6 linked regions of the Cricetulus griseus genome follow. The protein of the gene in region 1 interacts with the protein of each later gene in a pairwise test. Links are inferred from orthologs where the notes say so. Each region holds a gene or a part of one and is shown in the gene's direction. Other genes may lie near its edges. The genes, in order: Atxn3, C3H16orf70, Rad23b, Dnm2, Arhgap19 and Ewsr1.

Region 1 (3,500 bases):
GGGATCGAACCCAGGGGCTTGCATACACTAGCTACATCCTTACCTCCTGTGTCTACTTTTTTTTAGTGTTATGTGTGTGTGTGTGTGTGTGTGTGTGTGTGTGTTTATTTTTTAAGAGTATTTGAGAGATTCATCCACATTGTTGCAGCTACTTGTATTTAATTTACTTTTATCCTTCTATACTGTTCTTTTGGAAGTACACTTTTGTGATCTAGACTGTGTTGGGGTGCTTTCCAGTTTGGAAGCATACAAGTAGTGCTTTGGTGAGTGCGTTTGCAGTGTCTGTGTGTAACAGCAGAGCACATGGATGAGCTCTGGTAGAGATGAAAGTTACTGGAGAGTGCTTTCCCGAGGTTATACTTAACTCCTGTGACAACCATTTTCTATAATTCTAAACCTCTCCTCTGTAATAGCTGACCCAGAGACTGGATAATAGTAACACATTGTAAATTTTCTTTTATAAAAATACAACTTTTGGGGGCTGGAGAGATGGCTCAGCGGTTAAGAGCACTGACTGTTCTTCCAGAGGTCCTGAGTTCAATTCCCAGCAACCACATGGTGGTGGCTCACAACCGCCTTGAATGAGATCTGGTGCCATCTGCCTGCATGCAGGCAGAAGACTGTATACATAATAAATAAATAAATAAAATCTTTTAAAAAAATACAATTTTTAGGGCTGGAGAGATGGCTCAGAGGTTAAGAGCACCGACTGCTCTTCCAGAGGTCCTGAGTTCAATTCCCAGCAACCACATGGTGGCTCACAACCATCTGTTATGAGGTCTGGTGCCCTCTTCTGGTGTGCAGATATACATGGCAGCAGAATTTTGTATACATAATAAATAAATAAAATCTTTAAAAAAAGATACAATTTTTAGCTAGGTGTGGTGGTGCATGCCTTTAATCCCAGCACTTGGAGACAGAGGCAAACAGATTTGTATGAGTTTGAGGCCAGCTTGGTTTACATAGTGAGTTCCAGAGCTACAAAGTGAGACCGTGTCTGAAAAACAACAAAAACATTTTTTAGGGCCTGGAAAGATAGCTCAGCAAGTAAAGCACGTACTGCCAATCCTTAAAACCTGAGTTCGGTCCTTGGGACTCACATTATGGAAGGAGAAAATTGAATTCTTCAAGTTGTCCTCTGCATCCCCTCCAGCCAATCAATTAATAAGTATAATATTTAAAAATCATTGTTTTAGTGTGTGTGTGTGTGTGTGACATGCATGCTAGTGCTGGCATGCAGATGGCCAGGTGTGCATGTGGAGGTCAGAGGGCAAGTACCCAGGAGTCATTCTCTCTTTCTACAGTAGCATCTGGGGATTTACAGTGGGCACCTTCACCTGCTAAGCCACCTCTTGTCCTGTGCTACGGTTTTGATACACATGTCCATGATGACTACAGAAGTTGAGATCTTTTTTTTTTTTTTTTTTTTTTTTTTTTTTTTTTTTGCCTCTTGACTATCTTGTGAAATGTTTGCATTTTCAATAGGGTATAAGTAGAACATCTGTACGTTTCTACCTCGTAGTGGGTGGTATTCAGTAAAAGTTGCTCCTAGCAGTAGATGGACAGTAGAAGGAAAACAAGGCAGAGATAAAGAATTCTGTTACCATGTGACTGCAACTTGAAGGGATACTTAACTAGCTCCAAGCCACCCTAGGCAACATGCCTTGGCAGACTGTGAACATAAGCTTGCTCTAGCTGTGTGTCAGATGTAAGTTCTCTGAACTCTGCCTGTTCCATGACAGACATGTGTACTATATCTACTTCAGCAGTTACATTTTGTTCCTATAACCTTGATTCATCAGGGGAAAGTGAATCTTGTAAGGTGTGCTTTGGAGTCATCACTTGTCATGTAACAGCTTAGACCATGGGGCATGATGCCTGGCAGGTTGAGTTCAGTAGGCTTTGTTGGCCCTTAGAGAGCCAGAGTTAACAGAGGAAGTGTTCTCTGCCTCTGCCTCCCAGAAGGCAGGCTTAGGGTCTGTGTCCACTGGACTCATCCACTCTTTACCCATAGCTTAGGAAAGCAACACTGTTAGGAGCAGGGGAGTGACAAGAAGGCTGCTCAGTGTCAGGCTGACTGGATTGGTTAGTGCGTTCCATTTGTGTATGAAAGCCAGCTAACCAGCATTAGAAGCCACTTGACTTGTGGGATGATGTACCCAACCTCCAGGAGAGGATGCTAAGGACTCCTTAGGGAGCTAAACTTGGCCGCAGTTCCTCTCGCTAGCCTGTCCACTCATGGGTATGGACTGTCGTCAGCTTGGGACACTTCTCTTTCCTATATGCTACATGGAATGAGTCTGCAAAGTCGGCCGATGAGAGCTTCAGCTCTAGAGCTGTGGGTCTTAACCCAAAACAGAATTGTTCCCACTTGTTCCTGAGTTTGAAAGGACAGGCTTTTAAGGTCAAATAGCAACAAACTAGTTAGAAGAATGAATGTTCTAGGAGATAACATTCCCTTTTTCCAGAAGTAATTTGTCATGGAATCTCAAAAGACGAATTCTTGTAGGTACTAAAACATTCAAAAGGCTAAATGTTTTTATAGGGCCACTTTTAGGCTTATATGAGATGGGATAGATGAAGTTATACTGTAAATCATTCTTCATTTTTGTTCCTATAGTTAAATGGCTGTAAAATAAGTGTGGACAAATGAAAATGCATATACCTGTAAATCGGGTTTGCCTAAGGCTAATAATGTTTGACTGTATTAAAAAGTTATAATTAAATTTTTTAGAAGATACTATATAAATCTGCTTAATAAATCACATTTCAATTTATTCTTTTGGAAACACTAGCAAGAAGGCTCACTTTGTGCTCAGCATTGCCTGAATAATCTATTGCAAGGGGAGTATTTTAGCCCCGTGGAGTTGTCCTCAATTGCACACCAGCTCGATGAAGAAGAAAGGATGAGAATGGCAGAAGGAGGAGTTACTAGTGAAGACTATCGCACATTTTTACAGGTACTGATTTCAGACTTACCAAATCCCGTTTATTTTTAACATGCGGGTGTTCTTTAAAGGAGGATGAGCCATTCTCCCCTTCGGAGTCTGACTTGTTAATTATAACTCTGCTCTTCTCTTGGTAAATGGGACTGTACAGCATGTTCTTGTAAATGTGCACACTAATGACAGTTTTTAATCCTTTTCCCATCCCTCTGCCCACAACTGCCCATGAAAATTGAACAGCAGCCTTCTGGAAATATGGACGACAGTGGCTTTTTCTCTATTCAAGTAAGTAGTCCAGAGTGTGTGTGAAGTGCTGCCTCACTTTCAGCGCTGCTGTGCTCACGCTCCGTTTGCGGTTGATGTGGCACAGCCTGGCACAGCTTTTTATGTAACGATGGAACCTTCAGGAGTTCCCTCGGTAAACTGTCTGGAGAGGATAAGACTGTGCTCCAGAGTGCTGTCCACAGAGAGATGAACATTAGAACTGTAGACTATTCATTTAGAACAGGGCTTTGGTCGCTTGCTTGCTTAGGACAGGCAGGGTCCCACTATGTA
Region 2 (4,069 bases), on another chromosome or scaffold:
AATAATTCCCAGTCTGGTTTGAATTAAAGATCAGTTTAGGTGGGGGTGGGGATCCACTTTTTGTTTTTGGAGACTCATCCCCAGTGTCTCAGGCTGGCCTTGAACTCTTGAACTCTCAAGCGTGACCTTGAACTTCCTTATAGCCCAACTGTGGGATTTCTGGCAGGCACAAACACCACACCCAGCCTCTAAACATATCTAACTACACGTGACAGCCTTTATTCATCCTCTTCCCCACTGGACATCCCAGTGACCCAGTTGTTGTTTTGGCATGCAACGATGCTACTCAAAGACATCCTACTAGTTTTGTTTTGTCTAGTGCCCATAGCAATGACTTCAAATTTTGATGAAACATCCCCTGTATGCTCCAGTGTAGCCAGTTTGAGTATTTAGTCTGTCACTTCCCTGCTAAATACAATCCTTGGGGCACAATAATGGTAATTGAGCTCTGCTTCCTAGGATCAAGAAACCTTGGATAAACTCCCTAAGCCCCATTTATCCCTCTATGAGACTGAAGGTGCAAAGTCTTGTCATCAAAAGTGGCTTCCGCAGCTTTTTAATTTTGGGATGCCCTAGTGCAGACAGGCGGAGAGTTAAGGCTAAACACAGCCAGAGATGCCCCTCTTCACTCAGGGGAAACAGGCACAGAATGCTAAAGGGTTTGGGCAAGACCATAAAGCATTAGCAAGCAGCAAAGCTGGTTTCAGGCGGAGCTGCTGGAGGCAGCCTCTATCCTTAGAACGTATGCCCCAAACTTGAGCACTTGTGGATGAGACCTGGCTTGGAACCCTTCGCCCTTTCACTCAATCCTCTGGCCCCTAGCCCTTACCCAACACTCGCACATCCTCAACTATAAGGTGGACCCCGCTCAGAAACAACTAGGTCCGAGGAGGAGTCCATTTCTGCACAGCTAAAGATTGTTGCAGCCGGCGTCAGTACTATGGCAAGACAGAGATGATTGTGGGATGCCCGCAGGCCGTGAGTCTTTGAGCCTTCCTGTCCTGGCAGGTGTGTATACGGCAGCTTTATTTTTGTGTGATGTGTTGTGGGCGTTGTCCCTTTCCTTGTGTAGGCACGTATGGGGTGCTATGCATTTTTTTAGGGCCTCGGGAATGTGGCCCTTAGCTTCTAAAGCAGCCGTCCTTCCTGCTCTACTCGGCCGCCGCCTCGCCGGTCAGACCTCCACTACAGAATTCGCGCGTGCGTGACTCCTCCTCAGGCTCCGCCCCCTAGGTTGAGCTCCGCCTCTGCCACGCTTTACGGCCCGGCACGCCACTTTTGCTGCAGTTGCTCCGGTCGCGCCTGCTGCTATTGCTGGTCCTGCCGCGGCTGCTGCCCGGGAGGTGAAGGGAGGTGAAGTGTGTTGTTGTGTCGGTGCTTCTGCCGCTGTCCGGAACGGAGTGGAGAGCCGGACGTCCGCGGGCTGGCGAGAGCGGCGAGTCAGCATCTGCGTGGTCTCCCCAGGCCGGGTCCTGTCTGCGCTGCTGCAGGGAGGCCGCCCGGCCCTGCGAACCGAACCAATGCTGGACCTGGAGGTGGTGCCTGAACGCTCTCTGGGGAACGAGCAATGGGAATTCACGCTGGGTGAGTGGGATCCTTTCAAGACCCTATTCGCTGGCCCCTTCCGCAGCTGGTCTCTGCCCCAGATGCCGCTGCGTCCGCGGCTCTCCGCCTTTTCGTACCCTCTGGTTCCAGGCTTTAAATATCCTCTCCTCCCGTCGGTCATAGGATAGGGCTTCAGCAGGGTCCTCTTAGGAGCTGGTACACCCCAGATACTTGTGAGAAGGTCCTGCGCTTTTGAATTGGTCTCTAGTAACCATCCCTGGGGTCTGAGGATAGATACTGTTGATTGCTATGTCCATTTTGCAGGCTAGTTAATAAATGGGTAGCACCCCTGATCAACCCCCTGGTCTCTGATCTATCTTCCTTTGGTTTTAGAAAGGTGCAGAGGGGTCGGGGGACATGGGTTACCTCTTTTGGAAGGAAAACCTAAGTTCGTATCTCATAATCAAGTGGTGCGGGAAATTGAGCTTGCTTTTGTTAAAGGAACTTCTGACTCGTTCTCTTAACGTGTGATGTCGTAATACTAGATGCCAGAGTGAAAAGTTGAGTGAAGTGGAAATTACACACAGCTTTGTAGACAGTTCAGTTTGTTCACTTTTGGGTTAGTTGGGCCTTTTATGTGAACAAGAATATTTGTATTTAGTAACTCCAGTGTGTTTACTTTATGCCAGCGGTAAGAAATGAGGGGTAGGAAACAGCTGCTGCTGCTTGTTTGTGTGGGCCTGAACCTCTGTCACTCTGGTGTGGGCTCCTAGACTGAGTCAGCTGGTCCATTTGATTATGGCTTATCCTTGAATGTAAAAGATTCAGATCTATAGAAACAGCATATTGGAGAAAACTAGCTGGGTAGATTGCTGCAAAGAACCTGCTGGGGCTCGGTGGCTGCCTACCTCCTGCCGGCTGTAGAAGTCAGTTTTATCAAGGAGTCTTGGCTCTCTTTTCTCAGAATTTAGACTTTCCTGTTTTATAGAGTTAGCAAAATTGAATGTGCTATGAAAATGTTCCATTCAACTGTGAGGCACCAGGAGCTTGATTGAAGAACTAATGGTGTTTGACTTCTAATTAATATCCTTTTCTTCCCTGACAACTCCTACCTAACCTAGACCTTCCTGCACTGGCTAAGAACCACAGCGTTCAGACTTCAGATGGTACAATTAGACTGGATCTCTTTGTTTGATTTAGTGAATATAGGAGATTGGTTGGGGTAAGGACATTTCCAGAACACTGAGCTATATTAACTAACTACCAAGGGACTCCTGGTAAATGTTTGACAATCAAACCCTAAGCTGCCAGTTTTCAGGAACCAAGGATTTGAGTAGTTCTTTCAAACTGTCTGCAGTAGCCAAAAATAATAGTACACTGGGTTCAGAGTTGAACTTTGGGGGGAAACTCAGGAAGGATCTGAACCTTTGTGATTACTTGTAAACATTCTCATTGTTGTTGTTTTTGTTTTTAAGTTGGGTTTAATTTGTTTGTTTGTGTTTTAGACAGGTCCTAGCCCAGACTGGCCTCAAACTCCCTATGTAGCTGAAGTTGATTTTGACCTATAATATTTCTGCCAAATGGGTTTGTGTAGTACTAGAGATCAAACAAGAGTGTGCCACCATATCCATCTAAAGTCTGGTTTGGGGGGTTGTTTGTTTTTGTTTTATTTCATGTGCATTGTTTTGCCTGCATGTTTGTCTGTGAGTATATAGAATCCTCTGGAATTGGAGTTACAAGCAGTTGTGAATTGCCCGGTGGGTGCTGTGAATTGAACCAGGGCCCCCTGAAAGAACAGCTAATGCTCTTTAACCACTGAGGCATCTCTCCAGCTCCCAAGTCTGTGTTTGTTATTTTAAATTTATTTAGGAGGGAAGTACCAGAGTTTGATTTTACACACACACACACACACACACACACACACTCTCCATTTCTGGCTTCAGCAGGCAAACATCCATACACATTTAAAAAAAAAATGTATGGGGGAGGAACTCGTGTGTGTGTGTGTGTGTGTGTGTGTGTGTGTGTGTGTGTGTGTGTGTGTGTGGTGTGTGTGTGTGTGTGTGTGTGTGTGTGTGTGTGTGTATGTGTAACCTGCAGGAGTTGGGAGTTGGTTCTCTCTGCCATCTGAGTCCTAGTGATCAAACTCAGGTCATCAAGTTTGACAATAAGCACCCTTGCTCACTGTGCCATCTTACTGGCCCTAAAATCTGCAGTTTTATGGAAATCCAGAACTGGGTGTGATGACACAGGACTTTAATCCCAGGATTCCAATTTTTGTTTGTTGGGTTTTTGTTTTTTGTTGTTTGTTTGTTTGTTTTGAGACAGTGTATCTACATGGCACTGGCTATCCTGGAACTCAGCTATGTAGACCAGGTTGGTCTGAGAGATCCACCTGCCTACCTCTGGCATTAGCCACCACACCCATAAGTACATTATTAAAGGAAATAGAAGGCTCATTTTAGAAATTACCCAATGAGATGCCAAACCACAAGTTTTAAAAATAAGGGCTTTTTGTTTTGGG
Region 3 (4,082 bases), on another chromosome or scaffold:
AAATCCAAATAGTGATATTGTATCCTTGAGGATACTGGCTCAGAGAGGTCGTTTGTAATTGCCCTCACTGTGGTCTGATTGTAACTGCTTTTCATCCATTCTCACTTTTTTAAGTCTAACTAGTAAGAAGCAGCATACAGACAAGCACCTATGGTGTCACTTACTAGTCCTGTGACTGGGTGCTTAATACTTGACACCTCTGCACTCCAGTCTTATATCTGTGTAAATGGACATACTGCTAAAGCTAAGCACTTAACTTTATGCTCCTGACACTAAGACTTTCTTGCACCATTCCACTCTCTCCAACCACCAATGAGACATCTCACTTTTACTGCTAAGGAACCAGAAGCATGTCCACCCATTCCTCCAATGTCCAATGCTAGACGCATTTTGTAGGATCTGGGGGTGTACTGTAGACAGAACAAAATCCATGTCTTTGAGCAGCTTCAGGCTGGGGGTTAGGGTAAAGGAAGAGATGGCATGCATGCTAAATACATATATTGTATATATAGTGATCAGAAGGTCATAAATGTTAGAGAAAAATAAAGCTGGATAATGGGATCTGGATAAGTTGCTACTTAAAGTAGGGTAGGCAGGATAGATTTCACCTAGAAGGCGACATCTGAGCAAAGATTAGAAGGGCCCAGGTGTAAAGGAAAGCGCTTGGGGTGAGACAGAGGGCAACTGCTTAATAGCCACCAATAACCCCACAACAGGTTTAGCAAACGAAGCTTTGAAAGGCGTGAAACAACTAGGCCTCCTTCTTATAACCGCCTTTCTTTGTAGGTCGGAGATCCCAAGGCCAGTGAGAGAACGCAAGATGCGCAAGCAAGCAGTACAGCGCTGGAGTCTGTCGCGGGATCAGAGAAGCAACACCGGCATTACACACGCACAGCCCGCGACGTGCGCCCCATCAGGGCCGGCCCTAGACAATCCTTCCATTAAGGCTCCGCCCGCTCCACCGCCCTCTAGGTTCCATGCTCCTTGCTCCTCAACCACTCAACCCGGTCTCCACGTAGCCGTTCCCCGGCTACGGATTGCGCAACTCGGGCCGCTAGGCGGAGCCTGGACGTAGGCGGGGCGACGGAAGGCGGGCGGACCGGACCAGGCCGCCCAGAGCGCCGCGGCCCGCGATGTGCGCCTGCGCACGCCCGCAGCGCGCCGCCGACATTCCAGCTCCTCCCATCGCCCCGCCTCCAATTCCCGGGCGGAGTTCCTGTTCACGCCTGCGCACTGCCTCGCCGCACCCCGCGCCTGCTCAGATCGCCCGGGTCTGGCCCCATCCTCCGGGTTTTTCTGGTGGGGGAGGGGGCACGTCTCGGCGAGTCACGGTGATGGCGGCCACCATCCTGTGGTGAGGTAGCGGATTCTCTGCGGCTGTCGGGGAGTCCTTCGCGCCTCCTGCGGGCCCGGTGGCTGGCGCGTGAGGAGGCACCGCTGGCCGAGCTTGCGGCGAAGGCGGCGGGATCGGCGGCGCGGCCAGGGGACGAGGGGCCCGGGGCGAGCGAGACTCGGCGGGGCGAATGTGACAAGCCCCCACCCCCACCGCCTTCCTCCTGAGAGCGCGAGGATCGCGGCCACCCCGGGGCGGCCAGGCCCTGGCGCAGGCACCATGCAGGTCACTCTGAAGACCCTTCAGCAGCAGACCTTCAAGATCGACATCGACCCGGAGGAGACGGTACGCTCCGCAGGGCGAGGGGAGCGCGGGCCCGGGTCCGGGTGGCGCGGGAGGGCCCCAGGGGGGCGTGAGGTCACCGCGGGCTTTGTGGGCCGGGAACCGGGAAGGCCTGGAGGCTGATGGCGTGGAGCAGCACGGGCCCGCGCGGGCACTGGAGGCCGCGGCCCGGAGCGCGTGGTCCGTGGGGCCGGAGGGGGAGGGGAGGCCTGGAGGCCTGGGCGCTGGAGCTTGGCCTGAAGTGCACACACAGGTGGGGGAGGGAGACCCAGGCGTCGCCACCACCCTCCCACGACCTGGTTGGGTGCGGAGGTTCAGGGGTCGGTTACTCAAGATGATGGGCCTTAAATGTGCCTGATTTTGTCTGCAGCCAGTGGGTTAAATGAACTCTTTGCCTCTTCGAAGGAACCCTTTTATATATATCTTACCTTGGATAGTTTTACGTCCCCCGCCCCCCCTCCCCAGCCACCGAACCCACACCCACAGGTAGATTACACTCTGGGGCCTCGGTGGTGAATTTTTGCACTAGAAACCTTCAGATCTCGATTTAAACCAGGTCTTTCCGTCGTCTTGGGAACCTGCACGCTCGGACTCCCAGAACAGTAGTAGTATTGGAAGGGAGGAAAAAAAGACTACAAAAACTTTGCGTCCAGAGCCGATTACACTTACCGAGTTCACGTGATAAATTCCAGTGCTGTGGTCTTAAGTTCTGCCTATAAAAAGATGTACTGTATTGAAGTTAATACAACTTTCTGTCAGGACTCTTAAAAATGCCATGCGTGTAAATTTCCTCACGTGCTTGGAATTGTAGTAAGCCAGCAAATTTTTGCATATTTGTGGGTTTTTTTTTAAATGACTGATTCTATTTTGGTTGAAGATCCACGAACGAGGTGTTAATTAAATAGACCCGAGTTCTATTGTGGCTCTGTAACTCATTTACTACAACGTGAACAAATTACCTTGTTTCGTTTTCTGAAGCAGGAATAGCACCAACAGACATGTGAGGATTAAGTGGCATTTATTTAGTTGGTTCATAAATGAGCCCTACTACGTAATCAGTATAGATATGTTTCTGTGAAGACACTGTATTATGTTTTACCTATCTCATCTAATATTGTAAAGTCTCCTACATTTTTTTTTTTTTTTTTTGAGACAGAATTTCTCTCTGGTTTTGGAGGCTGTTCTGGAACTAGCTCTTGTAGACCAGGCTGGTCTCGAATTCACAGAGATCCTCCTGCCTCTGCCTCCCTGGAATTAAAGGAGTGCTAGGATTAAAGGCGTGTGTCACCACTGCCCTGCAATCTCCTACATTCTTAAGAAGCCGAGAATTCCGACCTTTTTGAAATTGTGGCACAAAATGATTTTATATGCAGTTATTTCATTTGCAGACTTCTGCAGTAATTCTTGAAGGTACAGAAAATAACCAATTACATATGAGAACTCTGAAATCTTCTCAGAAGCATTGGTTATAACCTAGTGGACTGTGGCTCTGTAGAATAAAATTCTTAACGGATTTTCCTTTACTACTGAGTACTGTTCGAGACTGGGGATGCAAGCATGTGTGAGTCCCTAAGGTCCATCACCAGCACAGTATGTAAAATGCTTGCTTTCCTTGGCTCATTGGGGGTGATAAATGATGAAATAAGTCATGGTAGCTTTTTGAGCTTATAATATTAATTTATCCCAGAATCACCAAAACAGAAATAGGTCTTACTTTATTTCTTTAATATCTGTATTTGTTGGGATGTTGCAGTAACTTCATATTACTGAAATATGTATGCTGTATAAAATGTGTGCCACACTTTAGGCCTTCTACATGTCTGCTCTTATCTTTAAGCCAGTGCAGTATTAAATTCCTAACTTTGCTTATTGCTTACAAGTTTATTTCCAGGGGATGTAATATTTTACTTTTAGAAATACATGTTTGATAAGTTGTTAGTGACTTCTTTGACTTTGGTTACTAGAGCAAATATTTGTCACTGTTAATGTAATATAAAAACCAGTGTTAAAAATGTTTTATAAGGCATGTTTTGATTCCATGTTTCCCCCTTGTTGCTGGGGATCCAGTACAGGGACTTTGGTTTGGGTTTTATGCACACTAGACAAGCTCTGTACCAGTACTTGCCCCATACCCTCTTTATTTACATCTATAGTGAGTACATACTTTAGCACACACACATTTTCTCTTTTATTTGTTTATTCACTCATGTATTTGAGACAGTGTTTCACTATGTAGTCCTGACTGGCCTGGAACCCACAGAAAACCACCTGCCTCTGCCTCCCCTGTGCTGGGATACAAGCTATATGGCCACTGCCCATCAGGGTTTAGATTAGTTGGTTTTGTTGCTGTTATTCCACAGGTTCCTCTATGTAGCCCTTGCTGTCCTGAAACTCAGAGAGATCCTCT
Region 4 (3,500 bases), on another chromosome or scaffold:
CTTGCAGAGAACCTGGGTTCAGTTCCTAGCACCCACATGGCAGCTCACAACCACCTAGAACTGTAACACCAGGGGATCTGATGCCCTCTTCTGTTCTTCACCCAGACACATGTTAATAAAATGAGATAAGAATTGTTTGAAGCCAGGAGCTGGAAAGGAGGCTAACTTGGTAGAGTTGTCGGAGGACCTGAGTTTTGGATCTCCAGCATCCATGTAATATAAGATAAGCATCCACACACTGGGATTGCGGAGACAAAATGATCTGTGTTCCCTGGGCAGCTTGTCCAGCCAAATTGTGTTCAGTGAGAAACTGTCAGTAAGACAGGGAAGGATTTAGGAAGACACTGGACAGCATCCTTTCTCCTGCCTGTGTCACACATGGCACAAAAAAAAAAAAAAAAAAGCAAGAGAATGAGCTAATATATTGTGATCAGCTGAGTGTGGTGGCAAAAGCAGTCTGTGACAGCAGCAATCCTTACAGCCTTTTATTCCTTTTTTTTTTTTTTTTTTTTTGAGGGGATGAGGGGGTGCATATCTTATAGCCCAGAATGTAGAGATCCAAGGGTGACATTGAGGAGTCGGTGTCTTCCTTGCATCATTTTCTTCCCAGTGACAAGTGCCTTTACACATTGAACCAGATTGCTGACCACCCTTCCTCCCACAAATACACTTCTCTTTTTCTGTTGTTACACAAACTATCTATGTGCTGCTTAACGGTTGCCAAGCACTCCAGTGCTCATCCTGTTAGCCTGCTCTGCATATACTCAGACTGAGGCTCACAGTGCAGTGCCACTTAATCAAACTTTCCCAGCCTGTCTATGGTGGAGCCCTATGCAACCAGGGTAGAGAGGCAACAGAAACTACAGATGCCCCCCTGGCCTGTTGGGACCTGCTGTCTTGACAGTCATACGATAAATCAAGGGCTGCATAGAGTCCATGAGAACAACCAGGATGGTGCCCAGTGCTTGCCAAAGCAGCTGTGCTATTTTAATCATTTTTTAAAAACATGTATACATAGTCTGGAGAGATGGCTTAGGGGTTAAGAGCACTGGCTCTTCCAGAGGCCTCTTCCAGGGGTCCTGAGTTCAGTTCAGTTCCCAACCACCACAACCGTCTATAATGAAATCTGGTGCCCTCTTCTGGAGTTCAGACACATATGCAGGCAGAACATTGTATACATAATACATAAATCTTTAAAAAAAAAAAAAAGCAAAACAAAAAAACCCTTGTATACATTGGCTGTTCAAGTTATATTTAAAAGGAACAAAAAATGGCCAAACATGGTGGCATACATACACCTGTAATACTAGCACTTTGGAGGCTTGGGCATAAAGGTCTTTAGTTCAGGGCCACCTGGGATTACAAAGCAAGATCCTGTCTTCAAAAACAACAAAATGTAAAAGACAAGAAAATTATCCACAGGACTGACAAGTTGGCTCAGGGGGTAAACATGCTTGCTGCCAAGACTGATACCCAAGTACTTATCCCCAAGACTCACATAGTGGCAGGAGAGATCTGACTCCCACAGCACCCCCAACCCTACTTGTACACTGTGGCATGCCTCCCCCAGTAAGTACATGTAACTTAAATGTCTTTTTAAGAAACAAAGTTTGCCACAGAAACTTCTGTCTTGGCTGTTTTCTTTCCTTGAAGGATGGTCCAGCAGTTTGGAGTGGACTTTGAGAAGCGAATCGAGGGCTCTGGAGACCAAGTGGACACACTGGAGCTGTCTGGGGGGGCCCGAATCAATCGCATCTTTCATGAACGCTTTCCCTTTGAACTGGTAAAGGTAGGTGGTCAGTCTGGAGGGTACATCAGACACCCGGATGTGTTTGGTCTCTGTCGTGGCCTTAAACTTTCTTCCAAAGCAAGATGTCAGGAGCTCTGCATCATGCTGGAGGCTGCTGTCAGTAAACATGGCCTGAAGGGCATGTCACATCCATCTTCCCAGATCTCACAGATTAGATGTTCTGGGCAGGACAGTAGGAAAGTCCATGTTTCTTCCATTGATGAAGGGAAAAAGATACGTGATGGCCAGCAAGATGGATCAGCAGGTAAAGGCACCTATCTCCAATAGGAAGCAGAGTACCAACTCCTGGGAAGTTTCCTCTGATGAACCTCAGCCCCTCCTACAAACATGCACATACAACAAATAAAAATCTTATACAATTCTGGGCTTACAGCAATATTTCCAGAATTCTGTAAGCTCAGGAGGAAAGTGAGTTTGAAACTATGTGGCCTACAGGAGACTTTGTCTCAAAAAAGTGAAACAAATTCAAACAAAATCAAAAACAAAAGCCAGGAATCCCAGCACTTGGGAGGCAAAGGCAGGTCAGTCTCTGAGTTCCAGGACAACCAGGTTACATAGCAAGAAGTCCTGTCTCAAAACAAAACAAAAAAAGTAAGCAAAGTGTGCGTTTGTGTCCTTTTCCTTTGAGGCAGTGACTGTCTTGCATGCATAGGTGCAGACATACCAGCCAGTATGGAGGTCAGAGGACAGCATCCAGTGTCACTCGCTTTTATGTTTGTTTTTACAAGACTGTTTCTCTGTCCTGGAATTTAATCTGTAGGCCAGGCTGGCCTCAAACTGGGACCAAAGGAGTGTGCTCGTCCCCGTCCCCGTCCCCGTCCCCGTCCCCGTCCCCGTCCCCCCCAATCCCAGCTATTACTCTTATTTTTTGAGGCAAGGTCTCATTGTAGCCTAAGTTGGCCTTAAATTCTCAGTCAGTCATGACCTTGTGATCATCCTGTGCTAGGGTTACAGTCATGTTTATTATCACATGCAGTTTATTCATGTGTATGTGCCAAGCACTCAACCAATAGAGCCCTGGTCCACCTGTCCTTTTTCTGAGATGGCATCTCTCATCTGCCTAGAAGTTAACCAGTAGGCTAGACCTGCTGACTGAAAAGACTTTATCTTTTTTATTTTATGAGTGTTTGTCCTGATGTGTGTAAGTACACATACCTAATTGCCTGCAGAAGCCAGAAGAGGGCAGAGGATCCCATGGAACCAGAGTTATAGACAGTTGTAAGCCACTCACTATGTGGGTGCTAGGTTCTTTGCAAAAGCAGCCAGTGCTCTTAATGCTGAGCCATCTCTGCAGCCAAATACACCCAGCTTTATGTATAATTTTGTGTGTGTGTGTGTGTGTGGTGAGAGGGGTGGTATCTATTTAGTGTGTGGAGGTCAGAGAACAACTTTTAGGAGTTCTTTCCTTCTACCAAATAGATTTTGGGGGTGCCTATAGGCATGGAAATCAGGATTCACTAGACTCAGTATAAGTGAAGTGGAGTTTATTGGGGAAAAAGAACTTACACAGGAAACAAGTGACTATGCATTGCTCCAGCTCCAAGGATGCAGACCCTGTTACCCTGGTGCTGTCTACGACCCGAAAGGGCTTCCCAGCCCCAATTCTTTGCCTTTTAACTGACCACATCCACACCTGTGACCACACCCTTTTGGTGCTACAGGTGCGGAGGTGAATATCACTACAGTGATA
Region 5 (3,500 bases), on another chromosome or scaffold:
CTGGCCCAGCCGCAGGGTTCTTCAGGTCTCTAATGTCTCTCAAGCGGAAGGGTAGGTCCTGTGTCTGGGTTTTTGCTGCTGATTGGGCTTTATTCTCTTGAAAAGAATTTAGAAATTATGTTATCTATTGTGCCTGCTTGTTTGTGTACCAGGTATATGCAGGTGCCCACGGAAGCCAGAAGATGGTGTCAGATGCCCTGGAACTGAAGTTACAGGCAGTTGTGAGCCATGCCAGGTCCTCTGCCAGAGTAACAATGCTGTTAACTGTTGAAGGGGCTCCCAGAACTGTGCTCTATCCCCTTAACATTTTCACTCTCACTGGGAAGTTGTAATTCTCCTAAAGCTTTTTTCGTCTTCTCCCCTCATTTTCATTAGTAGAACTTTAGGCAGTAATAATAAAAATTATAAGACTGTCTATGTGAAGAAATACTTAAACCTGGTATGGTGATGCAAATCTTGTAATCTCAGCATTTGGGTGGTTGAGGCAAGAGTATCTGAAGTCTGAGGGCAACTTGGACACATAGAAAGAGAGGAAAAAGAGGAGAAGGAGGAAAGGAGAGAAGATAGAAGATATATTCAGTGCCTGAAAGAGGATATGATTAGTTTAGGCAGTTATCAAGGGCATCTTAGTTTTCATGCCCAGTTATTGTACTAAAATAATATTTTTCAAGTGACCTTCCGTTCTTCCTTTCTCTTTTTCTTAATGAGTTGGTGTCTCACTCTGTTGCCTAGGCTGATCTCACTAGGCTCAAGTGATCATCTTGCCTTAGCCTTAGCTGGGACTACAGGAATGCACTGTTCTGTTCAGTTAAAATGATACCAGAGAAAATAAAGTTACATATCAGGGTAGTATAGTCAAGGAAGCCTGAACAATTACTGAAGATCAAATATGTATCTATATCTATATCTATATCTATATATCTATATAGATATATATTTTGTCTGCCTCCTTCCCCTCCAACTCCCCTGGACTCTGCCCAAGTATATCCCCATCTGAGTTTCATGTTCTCTTTCCTTCCTTTCAGTCTATTTTAGACAGGATCTCATGTGTATCTCTGGCTGGCCTAGAACATGCTATGTAGAACAGGGTAGCTTTTTTGTTTTTGTTTTTTGTTTTTTTGAGACAGGGTTTCTCTGTGTAGCTTTAGAGCCTATCCTGGCACTCGTTCTGTAGACCAGGCTGGCCTCTGACTCACAGAGATCTACCTGCCTCTGCCTCCTGAGTGCTGGGATTAAAGGCGTGTGCCACTATTGCCTAGCTTTTTAAAAAATAACCTACAGAGTCTGATTTGTGCTGCCTGTATGCCCAGGGCTATGGGAACATGAAGAATTTACTAGTGGCTACACACTCAGAGAAAAATGGCTCTCCCTGTTCCAGCAGCCATCAGCAGCAATAGCTCCTCAGCTAGGGGAGGGGGTGTGTGGCTGTAATGCTAATGATTACTTGATCTTGTGAGGGTCTTATGCAGGTAACCATAGTTGCTGTGAATTCATAAATACAGTGGCTGTTTCATGTCCAGAAGAGAGCATTTCACAGCATTCTTCTCCATCCCCTGGTGCTCTCTCTCTCTCTCTCTCTCTCTCTCTCTCTCTCTCTCTCTCACACACACACACACACACACACACACACATCCCCTTTTATTTCATGTTCCTTGAACCCTTTGTAGAGAATGCTGATATTGATATCAGCTATTCACAGCACTGTGACCATTATGAGTCTCTACGTTAACTGATGCCCTCTTGGAAAAGGTTTTCTGCTTGAGGTTGAGAGCAGCTCACATCTGTAGCATACACATTTAAAGACAGTTTAACAGCTTGACAATTTAGCAAAACAATAGTAGGTTGCTCCTGAAGGCCTATGGACCTCCCCAGCCTTGGGCTTTTGACCAGGCTTACAGTACCAGATATGAATTCTCTCCCTTGGAACATGCCTCAAAGCCTATCAGGAAGTGCAGAGCACTACTTCTGTTTTCTTTTAATGATTTATATATATATATATATATATATTTCTGTGCATTGGTGTTTTGCCTGCATGTATATCTGTATAAGGGTGTTGGATCCCCTGCAACTAGTCACAGACAGTTGTGAGCTGCCATGTGGGTGCTGGGAATTGAACCCTGGTCCTCTGGAAGAGCAGCTATCTCTCCATTCCTGGAGCACTACTTTTGACAGAATATTAAAGAGGCCCTGATTTTATTATTTTTATTTTATTTTATTAAATATAAGAAAATCACTAAGGCAGGATGGAATATTTAAACATTAAAGATCATATCCTATACCAGTTCTAGTGAATAATTGTCATGACTCACAGTCATGGTTCAGGTTCTCTTTTTGTTTTAAATTAAATCTCAATGTGCTGGGTATTGTTTCTTAAATAAGGAAAAGTCTTCATCTCTAGGAATTCATGATCTGATGCTGATGCTGAATTCTCTGAGAGAATTGACTTGACAGTTGTTCTGGCAGCATTTTTTGGGGGTTTATTTCTAGTTTTTAGTCTTACTTTCTTAAAATTTTTGTTTACCAATGCTGTGAAAACATTACATGAAAGTAGAATGCTTGAATGCTTTTAAAATCATGGTATTTATGCTAGTAAGGAGGCTCAGCAAGTAAAGGCATCCACTGCCAGCCTGATGACCTGAGTTCAAGCCCCAGGACCACATGGTGGAAGGGGAGAACCATCTTCCTTAAGTTGTCCCTTGAACACCACGTTTGTCATGCCCCCTTTCCCTGAATAAATGAATATGTGTAAAAAGAATCGTTACATTGATGGCCTTGTACTCTTTATGTCATAAAGCCCTGTGACATATTTTTTTCAGAAAAAGGAGTGGTATTTGGATCTCCACTGACAGAGGAAGGCATTGCCCAGATATACCAACTGATTGAATATCTGCACAAAAGTAAGACTACTTAAGTATTTAATGAAGAATTGCCAGTTTTCCTTTGAGAGTTGACGGGTTAGTAGATGCCAAACTACCCATCAACAAAGAAATATACAACCGATTTTCAGGCTGTAGATTTTAAAAATATATTTCCTTTGGAATTTCATGTCAATTATTGATTTGCTTTGCTTTCAAAGATGAAGGTAAAGCAGATAATGTCTATGAAATCATAATTACCTATTAGACAATTCTGGAAGAATTCCTTTTTGTTCCTAAAGAATTATGACATCTGTTCAAGAAAGCATAATACTTCCATCTTCAGAGCTCTGTAATTAATGTACACATGAAATCTCATCTAGTTTTTAGTGGTCCTGTGGGTCGTGTCATTGCTCTAAGAGCTCAGCATAGCTAAGAACATGTAAAATGTGAAGCCTTTTATGTGACTTGATACATTTAAATACCAATCAAATATGCCTTTCTGACTTGCTGGGTGTTCGACGCTGTGTAGGAAGAGCACAATGGAGATTGTGGACTCAAGTCTTGAAAGGGTTTGTGGTGTCTGGATTTGTGGGTTTTTAAAAAGTTTTTACTTTTTTTTTATTTTGGCAAAAGATATGATTA
Region 6 (4,068 bases), on another chromosome or scaffold:
CAGGGTCACCTAAATTGAAGCTTCCTCTTGCACCTTCTCACAACCATTTCATCCCTGAGCACTAAGGGACTGGTCCATAGACATACAGAACTGGGCCTCCAGTGCTCTGGGCCAGTCTCCAACCGTATCTTCAATTAATAAAATGAAACTTGTAAGAATCAAGTAATGAATTCATCTGCTGCTCCTAGCACACAACACAAGCAGCAGTTTTTCACGGTGAGTCCCTAGGTAACAGACTCCGGGTGCCTGGATCTCTCACCTGAGGAAGTGAGTTTACACTGGTGGCCACACATCCAGCTCCCCACTCTCTTGCCGCCCTCTCGCCAGGGAATCTGGGAGCCTGGCTTTAGACTTAAGCGGTGAAACCACTCCCATCCTTAGAAAGGTGTGACACGCCTACTTCTCCCACATGGGCCCTAATTTCTTCAGAGTCCACGCCCGCCATGCTAGTGTTTGTATAGTCTGTCCATGGTGTTAGTAACTCTTAAAAAAATTCACACGCAAACAATCCGCTTCAATGTCCCTCTGGAACCCTCGACAGAGACCTCTTAATTATGCACCATCACACCCTGCCTACCTTATTGGAAAGCCAGGAGGACAGAATGGGAATTCAAGGACAGGGAAGATGATGCTTCCGGGTGGTACACAGAGGGGGGGGGAGTCCCGGGGTCTGGGTCGAGTTCAGCTTTGTAACTTTGGGGGAAGTACTCAATTTCTTGAGCCCGGGTTTCCTTTTCTGCTAAAACAAGGGTATTGGTTGAAGGACGAGTACAGGGCTTCTCAACTCCGACGGTTAAGGGGGTCGGCCGCGGCAATCCCGGCCTCCCTCCCCAGCCGACCGACCTCAGTCCCTCCCCCCGCCCTCTCGGGCCACGCGTCCGAGGTCCCCAGAAGCACGTTCCCCCTACCCTGAAGACCGGGTGGGGGGGGGCCGCCTGGGAGTCAGGCCGCCAGCTCCCGGCCGAGATCTAGGTGCCCCAAACCCACTGCGCGCACAGCGGGCGCGTGATCCCGCCTGCCGATTAGTCAGCAGTTGTTCCAGGCCGGGATCCCTTCCCCCAGCGCTCCCGCCAGCCTCCGTCTCCCTCCAGGACAGACTCTTCAGAGACGGCCCCTAGAGCCGGCGGGCGTAACCATTCCAAACCACCCAGCCTCGTGCAGACGATCCCTCGGGTTTGTTGGTGACGCTCGCTCACTAGCGCGCTGGCCCCTGAGGTGCTTTCTCAGCCCGCGCGTCACGTCCGGCTCTTTAGAGAGGATTGGGTCAACGGTTTCGGGAGCGAAGAACCAGACTATCACGGACTCGAACCTCCTTGCCCACCCCCGCGGCCCGGCCCTATGGTAGCGTCCGAGGTTGCGGGTTTCGCGCCTGCGCAGTGCGGCGCCTAGGGGGAACGCGAGAGGGAGACGGACGTTGAGAGAACGAGGAGGAAGGAGAGAAAATGGCGTCCACGGGTAAGTGGAGTGGGATCGCGGTCGCGCTGGCGACGGCCGGGACACCCAAACTGGGGGGCGCTCGTCTCTGGGGGTGGCAGAGATGACTGAGTGGAATTGCCGAAAAGGGTTGGAGTTCGCGCCGCGACCCGACGAGCTCGGGGGGTCCGCGTTCCCCTCCCCCTCCCCCACCAGGCGGGCTGGTTCTGGAACCTTCCGGCGCCCGCGTTGCGCGCGAGGGCCTCGCGGTAGCTGGGGCGTGCGGGGCTCGCCTTGGCCTCCTTTGTGTGGCGGTTGTCGGTGTGGGTGCTCCGGGGCTCCCGCCACGTGGGCGGGGCCTGCGGCCTCCGAGGCCCAAAGGGGACCGCGACTGGGCCTCGAGCCCATCACCCCGAAGGCGCGTGAGGCGGGGTGTCGGATGGCGGCTCGAAGAGCCGCGGTCGGTTGCCCCCGTAACCTCTCTTACCATTGCTAGCCTGAGGGCAAGTGTTTCTTGTGTAAAGACTCAGATTTGAAAACAAACAAAAAGGCGTCGCGAGTGTGTGCGCCGAGGGGCGCCGGCTTAGGAGTAGGAGCCCCATTATCCTCCAGGCCTGCCTCGGCGCTACCAGGCTGCACCCGGAGTGGGCCTGCTCCACCTTTAAACCTAATGGGTCCCGCAGATCTGCCTTCTTCCCACTCGGAGGCTTCGGTTTTATCATGTGTTAACTCCACCACCTTCCCTATCCAAAAAATGCAGTGGCTTTTCCCGGGGTCCTTTTCTCAGCAAACGGCGCGGGGGATCGGTTGTGTAACAAGGCCGTGTGGATCCGGAGAGCAGAATCTTAACCAGAAATTTCTAGCATTTTTGATCTGGGAGAAACAGAAAGCCTCACCCCGCGCGTTTGCTCATTAAGCTTGCAGGCTTATTTCTTGGCCCTATTGAGGCCAGGGAAAGGAGACCGGTAGCCGACTTTAAAAAGTCGGCGGTGGGAACTCTAGGATGTGACGAATGTTGTCCTTAATGAGCGAGTGAGTGTAGCCGAGCACCAGCAGTTTGGTACGCGATTAGCTGGCACGGTGGCGATTTGTTTGCCTCTGGAGGAATTAGGGATTTGAAATATGGCCTTTGGAGACAGTAGGAGAAATCGAGGGGGGGGGAAGGTTGGGAAAGGTTCCAGCATCACAATTTAGCGACGCCAACGATGTAGTCAGTAAACAGGTAAATGCTGGCTTTTGATAGCAGGCTACCAAAAGTGTCCCTAAAGAGAGACCGAGAAACTACAGCCCAAAACATCCTGATGGGAAATGGCTTCTTTGGTGGGCCTTCTTACCCACTAAAGCCAAACAAGGCAATTGCAGATTTTTGCTTGATAATTGCTGCTTTTTAGTCATCTTTGTTCAAATCCTGTTTGCTGATAACCACCTTGAACCATATTCGAATTAAAAACATGCTCTGCTTTGTCCACAGCCTTGTCCCAGCTGAGGGAATCTTACTTAGGACTTAGTGTCCTTTCCTGGAAAATAGAGTTTAGCTAGACTTTTTCAAAGTTTTCTTGACACCGGGTGGTGTTGGCTGCGGCACACGCCTTTAGTCCCGGCAGAAGCAGCTGGATGGATCTGAGGCCAGCATGGTCTTATAGAGTAAGTTCCAGGACAGCCATGGCTACACAGAGAAACCCTGTCTGAAGGGGGTCGAGGTGGTTTCTTGAGCTTTTCAGTCCTTAAAGCATTTGGACCCAAGAAATGCTTGTTGGCTCCAAGACATTATGTAGCCTAAATCTCCACATCTCTGCAGCTTGGCTAGTGACTTCCCTGAGTCAGGCTCTGCCTTAGGGAATATAGTTCCCTCCATCTGTATCTTGTAGAATAGTGCCTACAGAGTATGTCCAATAAAGCAGAATTATAGTACCCAAATAACTACTATCAGAACAAGAAGTAAACATTACCAGGCATTCTTGAGCCCTCCGCACCCATCATAGCCCCTTTGCCTGCCTCTTTAACTGTATTTTGGGGTATAGTTTTTCAATTGTTAAATTATCAGACCGTTGTTTCAGTGCCGTGTTTGAGACAGTAGGAGATTTGTATACTGTATTAGGTAGATACACATGAGTTAGGGTGGTTGCTTCCCTTAGCCCACCAAATCCTCCGGTTTCACACTGATTTGAGTTGGTTAGCTGTTCTGTATCAGCTTTGCCAATTTTATGTAACTGCTCTTGTATAAGTCTTTTGTAAACATTGAGGTTAATGTCAGTGATTCAAAAATCTCTTTTTTTTTTGGCACAGAAACTTTAACAAAATGAAGGTTTCAGTGTTTGGATTTAGATGCTTTGTTGGTGTATTTTACAAATGCTACATGGAAGGACGTAGTTTTTAAAAATTTTATTTCGTATGAAGAATGTAGCCAGTCATAGTTTAATCCTAGAGCTTGGGAAGCAGAGGCAGATAGAGTTTAAGGCCAGCCTCATCTACATAGTTCCAGCTGGAGCTACATAGTGAGACCCTGTCTCAAAAAGCAAACAAACAAAAGAAGGTGACAAGTAGGCAAGGTAGCACACACCTGTAATCTCGGTAATTAGGTTGTAGAGAGTTGTAGTGGTATGGGGTCTGTAGCTAGCTTGAGGCTAAGTAGTTAGACCTTGTCTCAAAGGAAAA

The links.
Region 2: the proteins of Atxn3 (region 1) and C3H16orf70 interact in binary tests that used the Homo sapiens proteins (3 or more experiments, as listed by UniProt). The link is inferred for Cricetulus griseus from reciprocal best matches to the Homo sapiens genes ATXN3 and PHAF1.
Region 3: the proteins of Atxn3 (region 1) and Rad23b interact in a two-hybrid assay, tested with the Homo sapiens proteins (2 studies listed by BioGRID and IntAct). The link is inferred for Cricetulus griseus from reciprocal best matches to the Homo sapiens genes ATXN3 and RAD23B.
Region 4: the proteins of Atxn3 (region 1) and Dnm2 interact in binary tests that used the Homo sapiens proteins (3 or more experiments, as listed by UniProt). The link is inferred for Cricetulus griseus from reciprocal best matches to the Homo sapiens genes ATXN3 and DNM2.
Region 5: the proteins of Atxn3 (region 1) and Arhgap19 interact in binary tests that used the Homo sapiens proteins (3 or more experiments, as listed by UniProt). The link is inferred for Cricetulus griseus from reciprocal best matches to the Homo sapiens genes ATXN3 and ARHGAP19.
Region 6: the proteins of Atxn3 (region 1) and Ewsr1 interact in binary tests that used the Homo sapiens proteins (3 or more experiments, as listed by UniProt). The link is inferred for Cricetulus griseus from reciprocal best matches to the Homo sapiens genes ATXN3 and EWSR1.

Annotation. Positions count from the first base shown.
Region 1 is NC_048598.1:104,076,435-104,079,934, forward strand, and holds part of Atxn3 (ataxin-3), read left to right. Parts: intron 1-2,795; coding exon 2,796-2,960; intron 2,961-3,185; coding exon 3,186-3,230; intron 3,231-3,500. UniProt on the Homo sapiens protein: Deubiquitinating enzyme involved in protein homeostasis maintenance, transcription, cytoskeleton regulation, myogenesis and degradation of misfolded chaperone substrates.
Region 2 is NC_048596.1:181,512,141-181,516,209, forward strand, and holds the start of C3H16orf70 (UPF0183 protein C16orf70 homolog), read left to right. Parts: upstream 1-1,269; 5' UTR 1,270-1,520; coding exon 1,521-1,584; intron 1,585-4,069. UniProt on the Homo sapiens protein: Plays a regulatory role in autophagic activity. In complex with BCAS3, associates with the autophagosome formation site during both non-selective and selective autophagy.
Region 3 is NC_048595.1:88,507,044-88,511,125, reverse strand, and holds the start of Rad23b (UV excision repair protein RAD23 homolog B), read left to right. Parts: upstream 1-1,282; 5' UTR 1,283-1,612; coding exon 1,613-1,678; intron 1,679-4,082. UniProt on the Homo sapiens protein: Multiubiquitin chain receptor involved in modulation of proteasomal degradation. Binds to polyubiquitin chains.
Region 4 is NC_048597.1:134,342,718-134,346,217, forward strand, and holds part of Dnm2 (dynamin-2), read left to right. Parts: intron 1-1,653; coding exon 1,654-1,789; intron 1,790-3,500. UniProt on the Homo sapiens protein: Catalyzes the hydrolysis of GTP and utilizes this energy to mediate vesicle scission at plasma membrane during endocytosis and filament remodeling at many actin structures during organization of the actin cytoskeleton.
Region 5 is NC_048596.1:19,760,191-19,763,690, forward strand, and holds part of Arhgap19 (rho GTPase-activating protein 19), read left to right. Parts: coding exon 1-51; intron 52-2,816; coding exon 2,817-2,897; intron 2,898-3,500. UniProt on the Homo sapiens protein: GTPase activator for the Rho-type GTPases by converting them to an inactive GDP-bound state.
Region 6 is NW_023276807.1:99,798,542-99,802,609, forward strand, and holds the start of Ewsr1 (RNA-binding protein EWS), read left to right. Parts: upstream 1-1,268; 5' UTR 1,269-1,442; coding exon 1,443-1,455; intron 1,456-4,068. UniProt on the Homo sapiens protein: Binds to ssRNA containing the consensus sequence 5'-AGGUAA-3'. Might normally function as a transcriptional repressor. EWS-fusion-proteins (EFPS) may play a role in the tumorigenic process.